Stegostoma tigrinum: one gene and its partner. The protein of the gene in region 2 interacts with the protein of the main gene of each other region in a pairwise test. Links are inferred from orthologs where the notes say so. Each region holds a gene or a part of one and is shown on either strand. Other genes may lie near its edges.

Evidence for each region. The genes of interacting proteins can lie anywhere in the genome.
Region 1: the proteins of tmcc2 (region 2) and hspd1 interact in a two-hybrid assay, tested with the Homo sapiens proteins (2 studies listed by BioGRID). The two-hybrid records come from large-scale screens. The link is inferred for Stegostoma tigrinum from reciprocal best matches to the Homo sapiens genes TMCC2 and HSPD1.

Annotation. Positions count from the first base shown.
Region 1 is NC_081360.1:31,740,269-31,747,455, reverse strand, and holds the start of hspd1 (60 kDa heat shock protein, mitochondrial), read right to left. Parts: upstream 3,004-7,187; 5' UTR 2,880-3,003; intron 2,494-2,879; 5' UTR 2,491-2,493; coding exon 2,317-2,490; intron 1-2,316. Other genes in the region: hspe1 (10 kDa heat shock protein, mitochondrial), read left to right, coding at 3,543-3,545, 4,376-4,540, 4,865-4,954, 5,040-5,090. UniProt on the Homo sapiens protein: Chaperonin implicated in mitochondrial protein import and macromolecular assembly. Together with Hsp10, facilitates the correct folding of imported proteins.
Region 2 is NC_081374.1:8,083,529-8,090,941, reverse strand, and holds the start of tmcc2 (transmembrane and coiled-coil domains protein 2), read left to right. Parts: upstream 1-4,392; 5' UTR 4,393-4,648; coding exon 4,649-4,660; coding exon of another isoform or gene 4,661-4,681; intron 4,682-4,795; coding exon 4,796-4,948; intron 4,949-7,413.

The DNA of each region.
Region 1 (7,187 bases), on a different chromosome or scaffold from region 2:
TGGTCTATTGGATTCACGGTTCTCGATGTGGCCTCTCGTTACATAGGCGAGACCAAGCAGAGGCTTGGAGACTTGTGTGGAGCACCTACGATCGGTTCGCAACAAATAACACCTTCCAGTCGCGAACCACTTCAATACCCCCTCCCACTCTCTGGAAGACACGCCTATCCTGGGCCTCCTCCTGCATCACAACGATGCCACCCAGAAACTGGAAAAACAACAACCTTATATTCCACCTTGAAACCCTCCAACTCAATGGTCTCAACGTGGACTTTCAGCTTCAAAATCTCCCCACTCCCGACCACGTCCTAAGAACAGCACCCCCCTCATCCCTGCCTCCTTGACCTGTCCATCTTCTCTCCCACCTAAGTGATCCACTATCCACTTTCTATCATCATCCCCTCTTTCTGTTTATTTCAGAGCCCCCTTCCCCTCTCCAATTTCTGAAGAAGGGTCCAGACTCAAAACATCAGCTTTCTGCTCCTCTGAAGCTGCCTGGACTGCTGAGTTCATCCAGCTCCACACCTTGTTATCTCAATTAAGTTAATCCTTTGTAAGAAATTGATTAGACTTTGTATTATGGTTAATAATGAAACAAGTGAGAGCAACGTTGACAGTGAATTTTTCAAGCAGGTAGAGTGACGAATGCTAATAGTTTATTAGAACAGTACTGTGACATGCAATCTCAGACTCCTATTGCAGTTGCCTTTTAGAAGATGTGGAATGAGGAATTTGTATTTTTAAGAGTGAAATTCTAGTTTCTAGCTGAAAGAAAACCAAAGAATGACTTTGCAGAAACTAGTGGTTTCTTCAGTGTTACAAGTTAACATAGCAAGCATTACTTGATGTGCTGGGACCACAATATAAAAATCAATTCATCACAATTCATTTTTCTCAGGGGCTTGAACAGAGGTAGTGACTTTTTTCAAGAATGTATAAACATTTAAGGGTAATTAAAACTGACACTAATTTAGTTTTTGTTTAAGAGCTCAAATCAAGCTTCTAATAAGAAGATCCATGCTATGGGACATACACACCATTTTTCTGGATTTTATTCTAAAGGAAAACTAACTGCAAAGAAAAAAACAGACAAAAACAAAGTTGCTGGAAAAGCTCAGCAGGTCTAGCAGCATCTGTGGAGGAGAAAACAGAGTTAACGTTCCGAGTCCAAGGACCCTTCCTCAGAACTGATGATGGCTGAGAAAACATCAGTTTATATGCAGAAAATAGGGAGGTGGGTGGATAGGAGTAAATGATAGGATAGAGCCCGAAGAGAGAGAAAGACAGTTGACAGACAAAGGAGTTGCTAGCAATCAGGCTGGGAGGGCGAATAGTTGTTAATGGGGACTGTTAGGTGACTAACAAGGGGAGCTGAGTCAAGGTAGGAAGAGATGAGTTCCGTGGGGCATGAGCAGGCTGAAACAATGGGTCTATCTGAACAGTCCCATTTGTGGATTTCTGACAGCAGGTAGAAATCAGCTGTGCGGGTTTGGGGGACTATTAGCTTTGGAGCTGATTTGGGGGGGGGGGGGGGAGAAGAGAAGAGAAGAGAGATCACCAGATGAAATGAGATCCGTAACCACAGTGGATACAACGGCCTGATGCGCCATGGTAGGGTCATGGTCCAGGGGAAGTTAAGTGGTGGTATTGGAGAGCTGGTGCTCAGTTTCTGCAAGGCAGAGGTCAGTACACCAGACAACAGCGCCACCCTTATCGGCAGGCTTGATGACAAAGTTAGGGTTAGATCTGCAAAAAAATGAGAGTTCCTTTTTCTCAAAGAATGAGGAAAGTTTGTCCATTGCTCAATTAATTTAATATCTCTTGATAAATTTTTAAATTTGGCATACATCGTTCTTGGTGGCTTGGTTCAGACATGAATTTTTCATGCACGTCACCAAACAGCAGACTCAAAATTCACTGCATCAAGTCCCAGTTGCAGCCTCAGTTATTGTTATCAAAATATAAATCACTATCCACCTGTCTTGTGATGGGCAGCTCATGCTAATGTGGTATACTGAAGATTATGACAATGTTGCAGCTTCAAATTGTGGCTATGAATATTTTTGAAGGTTCTCAAATAACTGTGGCCATTCTACTATTAAGTATTAATAATCCTAACTGTTTTTGTCAAAAAAGATAAAGTACATGTCCAAAGCCAATCCTGCATCATCAACAGTTTTACTATTTCTATTGATGTCGGCATTATCTAACGCAATGAGTACTTATTCTAGTTTTGAGGAGCATAAATATTTTGGAATGTTTCCATAATATCAAACTGCATATTGAGTTCTAAGCCCACAGTAGACGCTGACCCACCTTTGGTCCCATGGTTACAGCCACTGCATCGGCGAGAAGATCAACTCCTTTCAGCATCATAGCCCGAGCTTCGGATCCGAATTTTACATCTTTGGCGTAAGCTCGTGCATGATGAGGTGCAAGTAGACGAGTTACAGGCCTTACCTGGCGTAGAACGGTTGGCAAACGGAGCATTATCTGCAGTGGAGAAGAGAAATAATACCGATCAACCTTTTAACTACACGTTAAATTTTTTAAAAGCGTATGGTGTCAGTAACATGGGCCTCCCCACACGTCGCTAGGGGACACACGTCACAAGGTCAAATTAAAGTACTTCAACAATCCGCAAAATAACGAGGAATGCAAAACAAAAGTAACTAATATGCCTCAAATTAGACTAAGAGAGACTTCAGGTCTGTAAAGATAACATGTAACTGCTAGTCTGTCTAACATCCAGCATTGGAACTCTGATTCCTCGTCTTCATTCATTGTCTCAATCCATTGGCATAGAAGGAAACGCCTGTAGCTTGCAAAATTTTTCAAAAATATACGAACCAAACCGATTTCTGCATAATACCACTTACTAAAATGTTTATTTAGAAAAACAAGTAGTAAACAAGACAGTAATAGCCCTAGCTTCAACCAAATTCCACAGCTACGCAAACTACACAACCGCCAGGACTGAGCCCAAGTCTCACTCGGAGAACACGTGGGTTTGCAGCGGGGAGAAGTCTCCGCCCGCCCCTTACTCTGGATACTCTAACACCACCAACACTTCCAGGTACACAGCTGCCAAAACATTTCGACAAGCAAATAGCCACCTACTCACTACCACCAATGGATATCCCAGCACCAGACTCATAGGATTTAGTACCAACTTGTAACTAAAAGCAGGCACGCGAAGCAGTTCATATACAGCTTCAGGGGTTCGAGTTCCAGAAACTTCCAGACGCTTAACGTAGGTTGGGTCAAAGTGCACAGTTCTATTGCGCAATAATTTTATTTCTTGATTTCTTCTCTAAAATTGCAACAAAATTTACTTTGGGTGTTTATGAGTGTAAAATGCTGCCAAAGTTTTGCTCAGGTGTGGATTTCAGTTTAGAAAATGCCTCTGAAATGTAACATTCCTCTGACGTTCGAGGTCATGTCTTCGGGTTCGAAGGTATTTCCTCACGTGGAGAGACTGCCATAATTGCTGCTGCAGGGAGGTGTCTTATTTCTAGTGCTTTCTGGAAGTGGTAGCAGGCATGGTAAGCTTACGTTTTTGTTTGTGATATACTGAATGAGAAGAATAAACCGATTTACGTATTGTTCTTGATAAGTATTTTTGTGACTTCCTGATGTTGAAATGGTAAGTTGCGTTGTTTTAAATCCAGTTGAGCATGTGCTGGATACAAAATAATTTATCGTGTTTGATAGCTCAGTTCAAACAGGGAATATGATCCTTTTGAAATATTCCTACTCTAGCAGGGAAATGATTCGCCAGGCCACCGACTGGTTACAATCCTGATGAATGAAAGGACAAATGTGCTTGTGACCTGTCTCGCTACTACAGATCAGTTTGTAACAAAAGTAATGGATTGAAGAACTACGTTTGTTACTATGTAACCACACCGACATTTGGATAAAAATGATGATCTGTTACGTGCAACTTATTTAACGATTTTAGATTTGATGTTGGGGACAGTTTCAAGGTCAAATGAGCTTGATTTTTAAATGTCCTCAACATTTATGTTGAGAAATAATTTTTTTCCATATTAATATCTTCAGCTGCTGTTTTACGCCCTTCTTAAGGTAATATGTTACATTTTCAGCATTTGGATCATGGTTTTTTATTTCTAATGATGTTACATTTAGGAGTTTATTTTATATATATTCATAATAGCTGTGAAAACTAAGCTAACAGTCTAAGGACAGGTTATCTAGTTCTTTATAACAAAAAAATTCAGCTATCACTTTTTCTCTCAAGATTCATTTTGGGTTGACCTTTTTATTTGTAGATCTCAGAAGTGGTAAAGCTTTCAATATGTGGTCTGTAACCTGTTGGTTAATAGGTAACTGAAACGTTTTATTTTAACAGGCAGGACAGGCATTTAAAAAGTTTCTGCCCCTTTTTGACCGTGTTTTGGTGGAAAGGGTGGCAGCAGAGAAGGTAACAAAAGGTGGCATCATGCTTCCAGAAAAATCCCAGGGTAAAGTACTTCAAGCAACAGTTGTAGCAGTTGGACCTGGCAGCCGAGTAAAGGTAGTTTTCTGAAAACAAAATCCTAATCAACTAAATGCTTGTGATTATTACATTAACAAAGTCTGATCCAATAGATTATATTTTTATACTGTGTTCCAAAGTGGCCTGCTGTTTTGTTTTATTAAGTTTAGGTATAATTTCTCTTAGGTATAATTAGAAAGCTTATCTGTGAATTTGCAGCAAGTTACAAGTACTACTACTTGTAACTTGCTGCAAATTCACAGATAAGCAAAAAGTGCAAATTTCTGTACGGTGCATTATAAACTTTGGCTAGAGCACTGTTCACAAACATTAATTTGTGGATCATTTGCATTTTCATTTCAGAATGGTGATATTCACCCCGTTAATGTAAAAGTTGGTGAAACAGTTCTACTCCCAGAATATGGAGGGACTAAAGTTGTCTTGGATGATAAGGTTGGTACTATTGTCTTAGTAGTTCTTTTGACTGTATTTAGAAATTGATTTCTTTCTCCTTGATGATTTTTATTTTCTTCCTCAGGATTACTACTTGTTTAGAGATGGAGATATTCTTGGAAAATACACAGCATGAATGTTGGATGTTTCTTTCAGTTTTAAGAAACTGGCCATTCCATGAAGTTGCTGTCTTTTTGTCTTAGTCTGTAAATACCACTTTTTCCAGCTTTGGTACAATAAATTCAATGTCAAACACACAAGTTTCTGTTTTACTGTGATTGATCTCATTGCTAGTTGAATTTTCCAATAATAAACATAAAATTATGAATCTAAACTAGTCAACTTGTTTCAGAAGTGATTCATTTCACTTTGAAAACTCCAACTTTTGAAAGGGTGGCAGTAAAATCACTTGGTAAATGTGCCATGGACATCTGGAAAATGCATCTAAGACTGTCAATATGACTACAGTGATCTGCAGAAGTACTAGTTCATTTTGCATGAAACACACAAGTATTTCAATACATTCTAAGTGAGGAATTTTCTTTATCGTTGCTCATTTTTAAAATCCTCATTCTGTACTGTCCGTCCAAGACTACCCTAATTATAAGATGCTCATTCTTTACATCCTTCAGCTTTGCCTCATTGAAAACACCAACAATCACAATCTCACTGCTTTTTCTCCTCCTCTTCCTATAATTCTGTTTAAAGGCAGTCCTTTGTGTTGTCTTGTGACCTGTTTCCATCATTTAATATATATGACAACATCTGTTTGCTGCTTTTTCTAATTGCTCTCAGCTCTCTCCTACCCTCAGTTCCTTCCAGGTATAACCTGGAAGAAACTCCAATTAAAATGCTATTTTCAGCTGCTCATTGGCCTTCTGTTAGCCGCGCTACTTCATCTTTTGATCTGTGCACTTGCTCTGTCGCCTCCCCTGTTGATTGATTATTTTCACCTCCATAATGTCCTTTCTCTCTGGTTATTTAGCCCCAGCTTTACTTCAGTTCAAGGGGTATTTAGTACATGTGGTGCACAACTGGTTTGGCCATTCACAGTCAGGCTAGATGTAATCATATGAAACATTATTGGATCTTGCTCACTTCTACTAAAATTGCTCCATACACCAGGATCATCCTGGAAAAACAAGGATATATAGTTGTTTATTCATCAACAGCTTTCTTAAAGCTATACCTGAAACAATATCTGGAGCCCTTTTTAATGTAATGAAACATTAAAGGTGTTGGGACAGTGCATTATTTTAAGAAAAACAGGACACAGAGCTACATGAAATTAAATGAACAATTGATCAAAGTGGGAGGCTTTGAGGAGTGTCTCAAAAAAGGCAAGTGAGGTAGAGAAGTGGAGAGGTGTACTTAATTTACTTGACCTTTTTGGACATGTTCATGATGTGACTGGGGCAGATGGGACGAGAAGCCAGCTATGTTGGACCAGAGACGGTGCTACCGTAACAGCCCTTTGTGAATTCAAATTTCACCACTGCCATGGTGGGATTTTAACCCATGTTTCCCAGAAGATTAACTTGGAGAGTCTGGATTACTTGTCCAATGACATCACTGCTGTCTCTTTGCTACGTATGTCTAAATTTGCATTAGGTCCTGTCACTCTGTAACTCTTCTTTCATGAATGGATGATAAATAATGAGTCTGATAATAAGGCAACGATTGAAGTGTGCTAATAGAACTGGGTGTTATCAGGCTACATGTAAAAAAAATTGCATTGTCTTTAACTGATGTTGAAAAAAGCAGCATGTAGACGAGAAATGGGAAGGCATTGTCAAAGATCGATCCTAGAAAAAATGAGAGATAATGTTGTTGGAGCAGGAAGAGAAGCCATTCCAAATGATAAGCAAAACCAGAAATTGCGGGAAAAAACAAGGCAAGCCTGGCAGCATCAGTGAAGAGAAAGCAGTTAACATTTCAGTTCCAGGGATCCAGTGATCCTCCTTCAGAACTTGTTTCATTTCTGAAGAAGGGTCACTGGACTCAAGAGTTAACTCTGCTTTCTCTACAAAGATGCCAGACCAGGTGAATTTTTCCAGCAATTTCAGGTCTTGCTTCTGACTCCAGCATTCACAGTTCTTTCGGTTTTCCATTTTGAATGATTCTCTGGTTATGTTTAGATAAGAATAGAATCATTAGAGAACAGTTTCAATCTGCTGAGTAACAGTGCAGAGATGTTGGAGGATGGTAATGTCAGAGGTTGCAGAAGGAGTGG
Region 2 (7,413 bases):
TCTCGTTTAAATTCATCATTAATCTCCTGCCCTTTGTCTAGTTCACCCTGCCAGTTGAATAACTGTCAGAACTCTGCATTACACTGGCATATGTGAAATTGGTTTTTCGGCTGGATAACCTGCTGACTTTGATTTGGATTCATGCCTTCAGCAGAAGAGAGAAGTAGGGAATAGGATACACACACACACACACACACACACACACACACACACATTGAAGTACACAAAATACTAAGGAGAAAAACAATAGTCAGGGACACGAACCAACTAGTGTAACATCACTATTTCATAATATTAATTTATTCTTACTTAAAGCATTCAATTTGAAAAGTTACTTTAATAGTCTCTGTGGCTATACACAAGATTAATTGATTTCATCCTCAGGGACAATTCAAATAAATCTACTCTGGGTTTTCTCACCCGTAATGACACCATGCCTGTGACAACAACCAATCAATATTCATTCCACCCATCTGCAGATTTCGCATGCTACCCATTTTAATTGCTTATCGTGTTATACTTAAACTATTATATACATGTTCTATTTTCACATCATAAATATGTTTGTCAAATGCCTTTTTAAAATTGTGATTTAAGTTGCCTTCTTCATCTTTTTGTGGTCAACTGCATAAATTTAGATGTCGAAATAAATAGGCCTTAAAAATAGGCTTCTTTGTACACAGAAATCCAAAACTATACTGTAAATAGTAAATGAGTTTCAAAGGAGAACTGGATTCTGCAGGAGTGCTAAGAAGGATTTAACAGTCAGGCAGTAGGCATGGCTAAAGTATAATTTAAGAACTTCACATTTGTCTTAACCAAGAAAGAATCGTGGAGTCATAGAATCTCTACTGTGTGGAAGCAGACCATTTGGCTCATCAAGTCCACACCAATGCTCTGAACAGTATCCATTCTGTCCCTGTAGCTCTGTTTTTCCAATGGCCAATCTACCTAACCTGTACATCTTTGGAGGAAACAGGAGAGAATGGAGAAAACCCATGCAAACATGGGGAGAATGCACAAACTCCACACAGACAGTTACCCAAGGATGGAATCGAGCCAGGGTTTCTGGCACTGTGAGGCAGCAGTGCTAATCACTGAACCACTGTGCCACCCCATGCACCCCAGAAGGTGCTGGTGAAGCCATGATTGAGGAGACAGTCGTTGGAAGCTTGAGAGACTAAAATTTTATAAGGAGAGGATATTAGATTGCCTGTCTGGATGAGGGAAGTAAGGAAATTGGACAGGCACTGACCATGTCTTTGAATCCTCATTAGACACAGAGGTGGTGTCAGCACTGAACTGGAGAATTTCAAATGTTACACTCTTCTTCAAAAAAAGACACAAGGATAAACCCAGTAATTGTATAATCAGTTTATTTAACCTTGGTTTTGTAAAAGCTTTGAGAAACAATAATTTGGGACAACATTAACAATCACTTGGATAGACACAAGACAAAGATCTTCAGCAATATGTTTGTTCAATAGTATTCAAGTTAATAGAATCATACAATACAAAAGAGGGCCTATGGTCTATCAAGTCTGTACCGCCAAAGCTACACTGAATCTAACTAGCCCCACTTTTCAGCACCAGGCCCACGCCTTGAATGTTTTAACATATCTTGATTAATTCAGGAAAACCAGCATAGACTTATAGAGGGAATACCATATTTAAGTTTTTTTGGTGAGATAGCACAGAGAGCAATGAGAACAATGAAATCACTGTAGTGTGCTTGGACTTCCAAAGGGCATCTGGTTCCACATATCAAACCTTTTAGCAAAGCTAGAGGTAAGGAGACAAATGTGACAGTAATATCTTGGATATAAAATTGGCTGAGGTACAGGTAACAGAGTACTTGTGGATGATTCTTTCTTTTGGAATGGAGGAAACATTTTAGTTACGTTTGCCAGAGATTGTTATCAGTTCTGTTGCTCTTTTGATGCATGTTGCTGGCACGGCTGCTGTGCATAGGACACCACCTCAAAATCTGCAGATGTTACAAACGATGTAATTATTGTGTTATGTGAGAATAGTGGTAAAATTCAGGAGATCATAGACAGACTTATGGGAGTAACAGAAACAGAATGAGATTTGATACAGAGAAGTATGAAATGCTTTGATTTCGAAGGATGGGGAAAGACTTCATAAAATAAAGCATACCATTCTATAGGATGTGCAGGCCACAGAGGGGCATGGGGATGTATGTTCAGAGACCATTAAAGCTGACAATAGCAGGTTGAAAAAATGGTTAATAAAGCATACAATATTCTAGGATTTATAAATGAGGACAAGAAGTATAAAAACACAGCTGTTGTGATAAAACTACATGAAACATTGGTTTGACCTTTAACGGAGTATTGTGTCCAGTCTTGGACAGCACACTTTAAAAAATTTGTGGTGGTATTATAAAAGATGCACAGAAGATTTTTAAGAATAGATCAGGTACAAGGGACTTAAATTACATAGATAATTGTAGAAGCTGAGGTTGTCATCTTTGGAGATGAGGAGATGTTCAAATGTATGAGGTATCTAGACAGAGTAAACAGTGAGGAACTGTTCACATTAGCAGAAAGTCAACAATCAGAAGCAACAACTTGATGATTGGCAGAGAACCATAACAGGCACAAAAAGAAATCTTTTTTCAAAAGTGAGTGACTGGGATCATGAATGCCCTGAAATGGCCTCCTTCTGTGCTCTAACAATTCTATGAGTAGTTCATAGTACAGTACTTGAATATTGCTGAAAAGAGACATGTATTGTCAAAGCCTTTGTCTTCAGGATAAACACAAGAATGCCAAATTTCAAATGAACTCCAGAATTTATGCCGTTGGAGAAGTGGGTGCTGATTGGTTGACAAGTTGTCTTTGATGTTAACATGCAGAAAACAAAATGGATAGGTCCCCATTCTCTTTGGGAATTCAGAAAAGGTACAAGACTTACATTGTGATTGTTTCAAATTTGATATTCTTGAGTTTTCCTCAAGAGTATAAGAAAAACAAGCCTCTCTTTTCAGCAGTATTCCTATCTGTACCTCACTGTGACTGAACGTAAAAGTTCCTCTGGTACTATTTAATGAGGAGTGATCAATTATTAAACTTTAATCAACAAGTCTCTTAAAATAGCTTAATAGCAATTGATCTCGTTGCTGTTGGTGGGGCCTGTTTTCAAAGTCAGGACTGCATTTTGCCACAGCACAAGCGACTGCGCTTAAAATATCCTCTGGTTCTATACTCTCCCATTAGAACAAAATCTCTCCAGTCAAGTCCCCTAAGAATACTGATATGTTTCAATAACATTGCTTTTCATTCTTCTAAACTCCAATGAATTCAATCCTAGCTACTCAATCTGATCTCATAAGAAAATCTGTCCATACCTGGGATCAACTTGGTGAATGTTCTCTACACTGCCTCCAATGCCACGTATATCCCTCCTTAGATAAAGAGGCCAAAACTGTTTACAGTATTCCAACTATGGTCTGACGAATGCCTTGTATAGGTTAGCAAGACTTCTCTATTTTTATACGACATTACATTTCAAATAAAGGCCAGCATTTCCTTCATATCCTGTCTTTAAAAACTTCTGAAAATCTGTTAAGTATATTTAAGTACATTGGTAAATAGATATTTACCAAGTGGTAGAGAGGCGGAACACATCCCTTGATTCCCATCTGATAGGTAATATGTATGTGTTGTGGCTTTTTGTGTGTCTCCAATTTAGATCACTCCACCCCAGCTCAGAGACAGTGACTTAATTTGCCTGGGTTCCCGGCTCTGAAATTCCTTGCTACAACCTCTCATCGCAAAGCTTCTCAACCAACACCTCACCTCCCCCATTTACAGAATTCACGGAATTGTAAGAGCTCATTCAGCTCATCGTGACTGTGCCAGCTCTCTGAATGAGTAATGCACCTACTGTCATTCCTCCACCTTCTCCCCGTGAAACTATTATCTGAAAAGGAAAATTATCATCCAATTGTCACTGGCCAAGGTGTTGGTCCAGCTACCCCAGACGCGGCCTTATCAGGCCCAAAGACCAAAATTTGGGACATCATACTCCTGTAAGCTCTCTGTGAGCCACATTAATGCAAGCTATTGTTACTATATGCTGTACAGTATTACATGCCTTTGTAGTGCAGATGTGCTCCAGCGAAGAGGCAAGTTCCTCCCTCTCCATCCATACGAGTGGGAGGGTAAGGCAATGAGAAAAAAAATCCTACGGAGCTGCAACCTACCTTGAATGTGGTCCCACAAGCCCCACCCACACCTACTCACACATCTCCCGATTCCGATTGGGTAGCGAGCGTGTCAATCGTCATCGGCAGACACTTCCGGTAGGCGGCAGGTTTGGTTGGCGACACGAAGGGGGCGGGGTTTCCTTTAGTCCCGCCCCCGCTTCAGCCCGCGGACATGGCTGTTCCTCTCAGTCAGACGGTGGTGCGTCGAAGGGGCTTTGGTGATGGCGGTTAAAAAAAGATGTAAATTTCTATCGGCGTTTACTTAAATCCGCTGGATTTGTAAATTCATGAGGGAAACTGTTGTGCATTTGAGCCGCCGAGGTAATTTTCCTGCTGGAAATCGAAAGGCGGTGTCGCCATGAAAATTTTCCCGAAAGTCTTAATTTCATCTTGTAATTGGGATGGAAGATTGAAATGGATGGGCGAGTACGTTTTTTTAAGTCACTGGTAATGTTTAATTCAGGGTTTTCTCTTTTGATTCTCGTTTCTGTAGGAGCTTTACTAGCTGAATACAGCAAGATCCCACTTTTAGCCCACCACCACCTCCCTTTTATTTTGCAGATGAAGCGGTGCAAGTCTGACGAACTGCCCCTGGATGAGGAGCAGGGGTCGAAGCTGGGAGTTGGTGCTGATACAGCGCTCAAGCAGCAGGGTGATGCTACGCCAGCAGATGCTGCCTGTCCATCCCGCAACAACAGAGCTCAAGACTTGAAGGTACAGCGAATAAATAAGCTCTTCCTTCTTTACTCATAATAATAACATAGGCTGGTGAAAATCCTACCTCTTCTTTTGGGCTTTCTGCCTTTTGCCCTCGTGTAGCTCCAAATTTTTGCCTGCTGCATCTCCTAAAATGCACCTTTGGGTATCTTGCTGTCTGCCAAGGTGCTATGCAAAAGCAGGTTGCTTTCAAACTTTTAATTGTGCGGGATGCTTTGTCTTACCTGATGTTATTGCTCACTACCTTTGGCTTGTTTTATCCCAACTGACACAAAAGTGATTAAGGGGCTGATGACTAAGACAATTAGATTTAAGGTAAAGAAGAATCAAGGGTGTGTTTCGTCTGGTTTCAGATTTAACCCCGCCTCTGAGTAAGTCTTTGCTAACCTCATATTGTGCTGAGAGGTGGTTTGAAAACTACTGAATGACTCTTTATTAGTGATTTTTATGGTTTAAATAATTAGCTATGTTTTTAATCTGCATTTTTGCAATGGAAATATAAGGTTGAGTAATTGGGCACTGAGGAATTGTTATTCCTGATAATGTAAACAACTGGGATCACAGCTGAAAAGTCCTGCAAAAGATACAGTTTGTGCATATTTAAGTGTTCAAATTAAATTTCAATCATGCATGCTGCCCAAAGTGGTGTCCTTTGAGCCAAAGTGACTCTGGTGATCTGTGCTGTTTCTTCATTTCAGCTGGGCTATAATCTGTCTGGGTGGGGCAGATGGCCACCGCCTCTGTTCCAGCAGAGTGGAAAATCAACCCTATCTTCATAACTATCCAGTAAATCCTGTTGGATAGTGGGTGTGGGTAGATCAGTTCACTACAACATCGTCTTCAACCAATCCAGCACAGTCAAGAAGCCTGCAGAGACTTGCTGCTTTAGATTATACAAAAGGAATAATAATTCAAGTCAGCTATTTAATTAAGAATCATGGCACAAGAAATAGATTTCTGAAGATTAAAGTTGCAATTCAAATAAATCCAGTCACCTTCCGTAATTTTTGTTTAATAAAAGTATAACTGATTCACTTTTTAAGTGGAATGAGTGATTGACAAAGAACTTAGAACTCGAATCCAGTCTTTGAATTGTGAAAGTAAATTGGACATGTTTCAATTATACGATTTTTTGATAGTGTCTGAATCTCTCAAATCCATTATTGTTTTGTTATTCACCAATGGTCATTCACTGCAGTCATTATTGCCCCCCCTTGTGCTTTCATTGTGGTGAATTGTTATAAATAGAGCTTAGTTCAGCATATGACATTGAACAGAATGCTCTTATTTCAATGGGGAAGGAAGATTAATAACTTGGGCTATTCGTTTCTACTACATCACTATCATTTTGAACAATGTTTTTAGTTTACTATGAATAATAGATACCAGTGTTGTATTGCTGTGTTCCAAACCTCAGCTATACCTGGAAGGAAAATAAAACTAAACTCTTAGATGCCACTATAATAGTAATAATACTAATGAACTAATTCTAAGTAGTCATTCTAATTCCTTTCTCGTGCAAATTCATATTTGTCATGCATGGGGTAACTTTACTCAGAATAACAATTTGAAGTCTGTTTAGTGGCTTTTCCATTGTTTTTCTCGCATGTCATCTACCATAGTTTCTATGTGCTGTACATTTTATCTGTTTGTGACGATGGCTTAGAGAGCTGATTCAAGGCCCTGTTTTTTTGCATTCTGTCTGTCTTCCTCTTCCTCCTACATTTTGCTCCCACCCCGTGCTTCACTCATTTTCAATTTTAAATTAAAAGTTTTGTAGTGTGTGCATCAGCATTTCTTGCATCATTAATATGATCAATTTCTAGGCAGTGTTTCCTAAATTAATACAGTCCCAGATAGGTACCTTTAAATGTGATATTCCAGGACTCTCTTCCAAACAGCTGCTGGAATTATATCTACTGATTTATTTTTTGGCTACATGTCCATTCTTTGAGAAATACATGTTGCAATTACAAGTTGAATACATCCTTAAATACGTCAGGGTTCTGATCCTTCATCCTAACACCATGACACAAATAATCCTCTACTCGTCTGCCATTATGTAACAGTGGGATTGTTTCAATGCTTAGTGTTTTATTTGAGGACAATTCTTACTTTGAAGGAGGTTGAGTGTGGTTGACTTAAAAAGCCTTGTTCACACTGGTCATGTTCTATATCTGCTAATTTTGTTTAAAACAAAATGAAGCACAGGTGGCAATTTGATGCCAGTCATTTATGTTGAGGCCCAAGAATGACAATTCTTCCTCTCCTGAAATATTTCAGTCTGACACTCCCTTTTACACACAAGATCGGAGCAGAAGTGGATCATATGGCTTTTTGAGCCTTCTCTGGCATTCAGTGCAGTATTTCTAGGTTTCATCTCCACTTAGTTGAGACCTGTTAATGTAGATAAGAATTTCAGGATTTTCCTAAATAAATTATGCGCCAAGATTTTTCTGTCA